2 linked regions of the Coturnix japonica genome follow. The main gene of each other region encodes a partner of the protein of the gene in region 2 in a complex. Links are inferred from orthologs where the notes say so. Each region holds a gene or a part of one and is shown on either strand. Other genes may lie near its edges.

The links.
Region 1: the proteins of interleukin-1 receptor-associated kinase-like 2 (region 2) and IRAK4 are in contact, whole or in part, in a crystal structure (PDB 3MOP), measured with the Homo sapiens proteins. The link is inferred for Coturnix japonica from reciprocal best matches to the Homo sapiens genes IRAK2 and IRAK4. Residues at the interface, in NP_001561.3 of Homo sapiens: Tyr6, Ile36, Lys44, Met48, Glu59, Trp62, Trp63, Trp64, Gly65, Met66, Arg67, Gln68, Ala69, Gln73; in NP_001107654.1 of Homo sapiens: Asp24, Phe25, Pro28, Gln29, Lys34, Glu92, Phe93, Phe94, Ala95, Pro96, Ser98, Val105.

What each region holds. Positions count from the first base shown.
Region 1 is NC_029516.1:27,252,605-27,256,412, reverse strand, and holds part of IRAK4 (interleukin-1 receptor-associated kinase 4), read right to left. Parts: coding exon 3,774-3,808; intron 2,442-3,773; coding exon 2,258-2,441; intron 1,287-2,257; coding exon 1,224-1,286; intron 472-1,223; coding exon 313-471; intron 224-312; coding exon 191-223; 3' UTR 1-190.
Region 2 is NC_029527.1:16,756,060-16,760,556, reverse strand, and holds the start of interleukin-1 receptor-associated kinase-like 2, read right to left. Parts: upstream 2,883-4,497; 5' UTR 2,852-2,882; coding exon 2,605-2,851; intron 2,478-2,604; coding exon of another isoform or gene 2,367-2,477; intron 2,090-2,366; coding exon of another isoform or gene 1,905-2,089; exon of another isoform or gene 1,242-1,904; intron 1-1,241. Other genes in the region: THUMPD3 (THUMP domain-containing protein 3), read right to left, coding at 3,931-4,062, 4,328-4,451. UniProt on the Homo sapiens protein: Binds to the IL-1 type I receptor following IL-1 engagement, triggering intracellular signaling cascades leading to transcriptional up-regulation and mRNA stabilization.

The sequences.
Region 1 (3,808 bases), on a different chromosome or scaffold from region 2:
CAGTTAACAATAAAATAACAATAATAAAAAAGCATTATGATGGCAAGCCACCTGCACGCCTTACATGTGGACCAGAAAATTCTGGAAAGCAGAAAGGCTGATAATGTCACAGTAAGTGCTAATATAGTTCTCTACTTGCTGCTGGCTGGTCTGTGCTCTGTTTAGAAAACAGGTATATTAGGAAAGCACATCATGTTTTTATCTCTTGTAAATACTGCTGGACCTGCAAGAGAACAGCGAGAAGTACAAGTAACTGACACCACAGCTACAAATAGAGCTATACAGAAGCCTTCAATCTGAACATCTACATACCATCTTCATGTCTGGCCTCCGGTTTTTTTTCTCATTCAGGCACCGATCAGCAAGTGAATACATTTTATGAACTGAAGTTGCATCCCAGTCTCTCATCTTTACATCAACATAATCCTCAATAGTCGCCTCCTCATCCTCAATTTCATCCTTGATACTTAACTACAAGAGAGTTGGAACCAATGAGCAGAGAATACAGTAAGCATCTGAAGATCATAAATTCCACACGAATACTTTGACAACTTGCTTTTCAGTGCTCTTCATTCTTTGTCTAGAGAAGTGATTGAGAAAAATAACAGCAATGGTTGGGTAGCACAATTATTCATCAGTATCTACCAAAACAACTTACAAGACTATAGTGGGGATTAAAAACTTGTAAATATTTGAAGCTAGGGATGCCACATTATCTCATAATGCCCACTCTCTGTGCTCCCAAAAGGAGCCTATCAAATCAGACTTTATATTCCAGAAGATAAAGCTTAGAGAAGATAAAGCCTAGAGAAAGTGCCCTATTAATAGTATACAGGTAATCCTAAAGCTGCCTATGTGTGAGAGGGTGACCAGCTATCAAACAGTGCGGAACAAAACCAAACCAAAACCATAACCAAATGATATGATGAAAGAGGATCAGGGTATCTGGTAAAATAAGGGCATGCTGGTAAAGCTAAATAGCATTATAACAAGAAAGAGTATCAGAACAAAGAGAAATATAATACAGATTGGAAAGAGATGATGTGGGGACTGGACAGTCTCCTACCAGCTAAGAGTAAAATGCTTCACTTCTAAAATAAAGATTGATACAAAAGTGGTTCCCATAACTATTCATCAAGTGATGCAATTTGCTTGTCTCACCACCTGTTACCTGATGACTATTTTACATGAAATGATCCTAGAGGAAGAAAGCAGAAAAGTACCAGCAACTGTGGCTCCCGGTTTTCATCTACTGGTGGCAGACCTGTTATTATTTCTAGTAAGACCTAGAAGAAAAAATAAATAAATCAGAAGAATAGAATACATTAATCCTTAGCATACACAGTGTTTGAAAAGAGGAACATGATCCTCAGCCTTTCACACAAATGCTCACAGGATCAGTACCTGTCCCATTGCACAGCCCACTACACAACCCATAGTTCCTGTTGTTCCCAGCCTTATTCTCATCATCTGCTATTAGCTGTGATGTTCGGCACTTTTCCACACCCTACACTGCGTTGTCTCTAAGTTGGAAGATGGAAGAATTTCACAGATACTCAGGTACAGTGTTTGACCTACATCCCTATGAAACTAAATGGCACGAAGAAGGGAATAGATTCACTTTTCTCCCAAATAGCAGGCAGTTGTTTGGGTTTTTCTGATTAGATATGCACTGTACTCAGCTTTCAGTCAAATCCCACACTGACAACATCCATTTGGTGATGAAACTCACTTTGGATCATTGTCTTTCAGATTTTAAGTAAGTATCAACAGGTGCAAAATTTTAATCAAAATTTTAATCAACATATTCAAATGCTTTTAGACCACTCAAAGAGTAGAAACACTATCTTAAGAGCACATTCACTGGGAAAAGGAAAAATAACAGATGAAAATAGAATCATGGAATCACAAGGTTGGAAAGGACCTACAATATCATCTAGTCCAACCATCATCCCTTTACTATACCTACAGAAAACCACTAAACCATATCTCCTAGCTCCCCACCCAGATGCCTCTTGAACACTGCCAGGGATGGCGACTCCATCACCTCCCTGGGCAGCCATTCCAGTGCCTGACCACTCTCTGAGAGAAAATGTTCCTTCTTATGTCCAGACAAAACCTCATCTGATACAACTGGTGGCCATTTCCTCAAGTAGATTGCTTAATTTCGGGTATTCTTGATTTTTTACACTTCTTCCAATATGAAATCAACCAACACATAAACACAATCACATACAGCTTCCCTCATTCTACTTACTACCCCAAAGCTGAAGATATCAGACTTAGGCGTTATTTCTCCTCGCAGAGCTTCAGGTGCCATATAGGCTGCTGTTCCCACAACTCTGTCTGTCATGATGGTTCGTGTGAATGTTACTGATGCTCTTGCAAGTCCAAAGTCGGAAATTTTAGGCACATAGGTATCAGTTAATAAGATATTTGCACTGGTGAAGAGGGGAGAAAAATGAAAGGAGCTTTCCAAAACAGTAACTGGGTTTTAATATAGACTAACAATTCTTTAGTAACCAAATGCAAGCTGCTATTCTGAATGTTTCTAGAAATAACAGATAACCCCAGCAAAACACAAAAGAAAAACACAGCCAAATTGAGTAGTGGAGCACAGTAGAATTCTTAACTGCTAGACCTCTACTCAGAACTAATAAAAGCTGGCTTTAATGGTTTATACCTATTATCTAATACAATGTCAACTGTTACACACTGCAATGTCAAATGATTACCAATACTTGTATTCTCCTGAAAGAGAAACAATACTGCTTAATGCTGGAATTATCTATGTGCTGTGTTTCTCTTTATCTCCAGCTTTTTACTGGTCTTACAGAAAATCTGAACAGTGAAAATGCAAGAAGTTGCAAAATGGAATTGAAGCCAAAAAAAAAAAACAACAACAAAGCCAAATCCAACCCTGTGATAAAATCAACTCACAGCAGTTAGAAGAGTAGAGCAGCATAAGGTAAGAAAACGCATCCCTTCCAGGCACTACGCATGTCCTGATGCTTAAGCAGGAAAGAAAGAAGAAATATGAGTTGTCAAAGCAGCAAGTACCTTTTATGGGTGAGCTGAAGCAAAAACTACTTCCTCACAGAATGGAAGTTCACAAAGCCTGTACAGCCTAGACTTAACAGAGGTGTCAGAAGCCAGAAAGCCACTGAAACATTCCTCTATGACACCCAACCCACTGGTTGCTCCTTGTCAACCTACAGAAGAAGCAGGGTACCCATATCTAGGCATTTTCTTGAAACATTTTGACTACTTTGTCAGTGCAAACAAAAAGAACAACCAAAACATCTATTTTGCTATAACAAATAAGTGAACAGACATCAACCTTAAAGGTAATTAAGCTTCATGAACCTGATTTAACGTCTTCATATTAAACAGAAGGAAATCAAAGGAGGAACTCAGAAATGCTCCAGGGAAAAAAAAAACCAAAAAACGTTGGGTTTTCATCTGAAAAACTCCCAATTTAAAAAGTCACAACGTTCTGTTACGGCAGCTTCTTTGTGAGCAGCAATTGCGAAAGAACAGAACTCCTACACGCCTTTGCAGCGCTCAGATAACGATTTGAAAGTGACAGATTACAACAGACTCTTAATCATCTTTAGAAGCCTGTACTAGTCATGTCCCTGTGGCACAGACAAGATTATGGTGATGGATAGCACTTGCAGAAAGGATTGCGTCCTTGAGTAAAGCACTGAATCTTTCTGTTTTCTCTAACAGACTTTAAAAAAGTACAACAAAAAGCACCCAGTGTCTTTTACCTTTTAATGTCTCTGTGAATATGATTATTGTCATG
Region 2 (4,497 bases):
TTACTGCTCCTGGCGGCTCTCACAGCAACAGCGCCGCGAATCCGATGTGAGCTCAATCCCGCAGCATCCACCTGAATGCCACTGCAGAAACACAAACGCGTGTGCAGTTGCAACCACTGCAAAATCATCAGACAGCACGAGACTCAAAGAGTTAACACGGATTTACATTTTTATGAGGAACAAAAATCAGTTCATACACAAACATTTAAGAAAGAAAAAAGTCCACAAGAAGGGCAGACGTTGCCTACTTCAGAACCTCACACTGCAGAACAGCCTGCTGCTATCTGTTAGCAACCTGCTGCTCTGCAGCCTGGGGAGCAGTTCACATATCTGCTAAAACCAACATTGCTTTGAGTTATGCACAGAGACACACAGACACACATCTGTGTATTTGAGGTATGGGGGAACATGTAGGTGAAGAACCTTTCTTATTTCTAGGAAGCATATAAACAGGAGGCACATCTGTTTACAAGGGTGGATAGTGGCAGGACAAGGGGGAAAGCTTTTAAACTGAGACAGGAGAGGATCAGGTTGGATAATAGGAGGAAGTTTTTCACCCAGAGGGTGGTGGCGCACTGGAACAGGTTGCCCAAGGAGGCTGTGGATGCCCCATCCCTGCAGGCATTCAAGGCCAGGCTGGATGTGGCTCTGGGCAGCCTGGGCTGCTGGTTGGTGACCCTGCACACAGCAATCATGAATCGTGAATGGTCATTGAGGTCCTTTTTAACCCAGGCCATTCTATGATTANAACAGGTTGCCCAAGGAGGCTGTGGATGCCCCATCCCTGCAGGCATTCAAGGCCAGGCTGGATGTGGCTCTGGGCAGCCTGGTCTGCTGGTTGGTTGCACACAGCAGGGGGTTGGAACTGGGTGAGCACTGTGGGCCTTTGCAACCCAGGCCATTCTATGATTTCTCTCTGTGCAGCTGGCCTGCTGAAAAGCACAACTCTGCCTGGGGGAGCCAGGCCTGCAGCTGGGGCAGCTTCTGTGGCTCTGGGGGCACCAGCAGCCTGGGCAGACCAAGACCAACCATGCTCCCCAAGGCCAATCCCTGGGACAAGAAAATGAGGCTCAGAGCACCCACCTTCTGGGAACGCTCCCTTGGTAAACCAGTATGGGAGCTGAGGGTGTGGGCACAGAGGTACAGAGCAGAAAGGGGTCCCAAAACCAAGATGCAGTTCATATGGCTGAAAAGGTGCCCTCACCTAGAGATAAAGCAAGAATTCAGTAATGAAGGACAAATTAAGGCATTCAAGGCATGTTCTGTGTAAAAATTTGTCAGCCTGAGTTGCTGCAGTGAGGGTTTATGAACACATAGGCTAACACAGAAATGCTTAGTCGTCTTTCCGCCAGCACAGAAGTTTTGGGCCAAGCCCTCAGAAGGCAACTGTGGAAGCTCTCACGTGAGCACACCCCACACTTTGTAATTCAAACATAAATCCAGCATGTGAGAGAGCGAATTTCCACCAAAACCGAATTATTCAAGCAAACCTGGTGCTGCTTTGCCACCGATTTTAGAGTCTGGATTAAGTGAACCCTTGGTGTCATTTTCTAACACAGGGAGCTGAGCCACGTGCATTTCCTCCAGGCAGACAACCCCATTTGTGTGACCATGGAATGTTCTGAAATAGTCCAAAGCAAACTCCTCTGGGTCCTGTATGTGCCAGGCCATCAGGGTCACTGCTCAGTAGTGCATGAGAGCAGGAGCAGAGCCCTCACAGAGCAGCGCACTCCTGCACACTGTTTGTCTTTGGAAGCTGAGCTGCCAGCACAGCAGATGTTCTACAGTGTGACTGAGTGTGTTCCAGAACTTCAGTGCCGACATTAGCTCCCAGCACACGTCAACTGACGGCCCCTCCTAAACCCAGTGCTTTGCTATGTGTGTGGCTCAGAACACACATCCTTTCAGTCGAGGGTTTCCTCCTGCAGCATTTCGCTCCTCTCCATGGACAGCCGCTGCAGGTCCTTCTTGATGTCGGGGTGGTCCTCCAGCTCCTCGTACAGCGAGCGCACGATGTCCAGCTTCCGATAGTCCCCGGGGCGGACCAGGCTGCGCACCACCTGCAGGCAGCGCTCCTTCAGCGTGAACACTGCGGGGAGACAGAGCGGGCACGAGGGCAGCGGGCGGCTGGGAACCGGCACAACACAGACAGCCCGGCAGCGTTACGGAGCCTACGAGGGGCGCCCGGAAAGTAAAGCGTGCCATCTGTCTGCACGGGAGCTACACCGGACAGGCGGTCACGGTAACACCGGTGCGTAGAGCGGATTCTCAGCTACAAAGCGTTATTATCGGACGCGGCCGCCAGCATCAGCTGCGCGTTGTGTCCGGCGGTGAACGCGCCCCGCCCGCCCCGCAGCGCCCCGCACCTGGCAGCGTGATGTCGGCGTTGCTGACGTCAGGAGCGGCCACGAACAGCTCCTGCCGGTTGACGAGCAGCCCGTCGTGCGAGCCCGCGTCACGGAACAGCCACAGGTGTCCTGCGGGGAGCGGCGCTCACAGCGTGGACACTCACGGCAGCACCGCGCGGCACCGCGCCCCCTCACCGCCCCCTGCCCGCTCCACGTCCGCTCCGTAACCGCCCCCTGCCCGCTCCCCGCCGCTCACCGCGGTAGCTGTGCATGACCCGCCCGGTGCGCGGCCGCAGCACGGGGTAGTACCGCGGCCGGCCCTCGAAGTCCACCCAGATGGGCAGCACGGCTCGCGGGCTGCGGTTGTTGAACACGACCTCGGACAGCTCGCGCGTGTTGGCGGAGCGCAGGCCCGGCGCGGCGCGGCCCGGCGGCGACATCACTGCGCGAGGCCGGGCGCCGCCCAACCGCGCATGCGCAGAAGACGGCAGGGCGACACGCATGCGCAACGAGCCACGGCGGCGCTGACGTAACGCGGGGGCACGGTGACGTCACGGGATGCGCTCGGAGCAGCGGCTGCCCAGAACACGAACACCGAGACCAAGTGCCTTTATGGAGCTAATAAACTTTAATAGGCCTAAATCCAGCTCTGAGAGCGGTACCACGAGCTTGAATACACTTCAATGGAATGACAAGCTGGTAATTAGTGTTTCAGCCTCTGATGAGCAGAGTAATTAGCCTGAGAAACCGCAGGATGTTCAGAGAAGGAAACAGACATTCATTGAACAAGAATTGAACAAGACATTCATTGAACATGAATTCCTGTCATTAGGGCAGCATCCCTACAGCAGCTCCTACAAAACCCCTCATCGCTGCCCCTCAGTGCCAGCATCACAACTCCCAGGTAACACCGCTCCCAGGCAGAAACCACAACTGCTCTGCCTCACCCACAGCGGGACCTGCAAACAGCCCGAGGCACCAACAGCACTGAGCTGGTAACAGGTAAGAAACAAACAGCAGCACCTGCGCACTGCTAGCATTTCCTCACTGGAGCATCAAACATCTTAATTCACATCTGGGAAACAGTATCAACTTTAAACTTTCAGTTTGGAAAAGTTCTACAGCAAAGAGGTACTACCTCCAAACCCTTTGAGATGACTAACTGGAATACTAAGACTGGCATTTTAAGATAGGATTTCTACAGTTCAGGGGAAAAATAAGCTGCCAATTGGCTCCAAAAACGCCTCAACATGTTTTCTACTATAAGCAGAGGGAACAAACATTTAACTGAGAAATACAACAGATGTGGTAGAAAAGACTCAGGCAAAGGAGAGCATTGCTGACACCACTACTGACTTTCAGTTAAGGTGGCAGAGTGAAAAGCAATAACTTAAGTCAGGTTCAGAGCACACAGTAGAACGGGGAGTTCTCAGGTTGGTCCCTGGTTCAGTGCTCAATTTACACAATTCTTATTTATTGCCTTTCGCTCAGGAACTGAGACAAACACTCTCAGCAACCTCCTTTACCAAGCTGCTCATCTGGAAATGATGCAGGTCTCTGCTGTCTTCCTCCACAAGGGCTGTCACCAGAAGGACTTATTTTCTTCCACTCTTTCCCAGGTGCGTTTCAGAAGATACACTGCAGCATGAAGTCCCCCTACATTCACCCACACTGTGTGACTTTTGCGCCAGATGTGTCCCAGTCTCGACAAGGCCTATGACAGAAAAATAGCACACAAAAAAGCTGCAAGAGTGGTGGCAGCTTCTTCAGGATAAGAATATAAGGATAAATTTGCTTTAGATGTTATTCCTGGCTATAGCAAATCACACCTGAATAAGGTCTAAAACCACATGAAAATGCTGCTATTCATCTCTTTAGAAACAGATCACCTGCCATAGTGAAGTCAGCTTAAAGTTTTTCTCCACAATAGATTTTCCTGTGCAAATGGGTTTAATTCTAAGGTTTGACCCAGAACGTACCTTGATGAAGCATTTCTTGTCCTGAGTCAGCAGCACAGCTCTACCTGTGCCTGGTGTGCAGATCCGCCCCATCTCCATGAGGCAGGCTGGATAGAGATCCCAGTTCTTCTTCTTTGACCCTATCCTATAACATAAATCAAGATCTCCTTTGTGACAGTCAAAAAACAGCA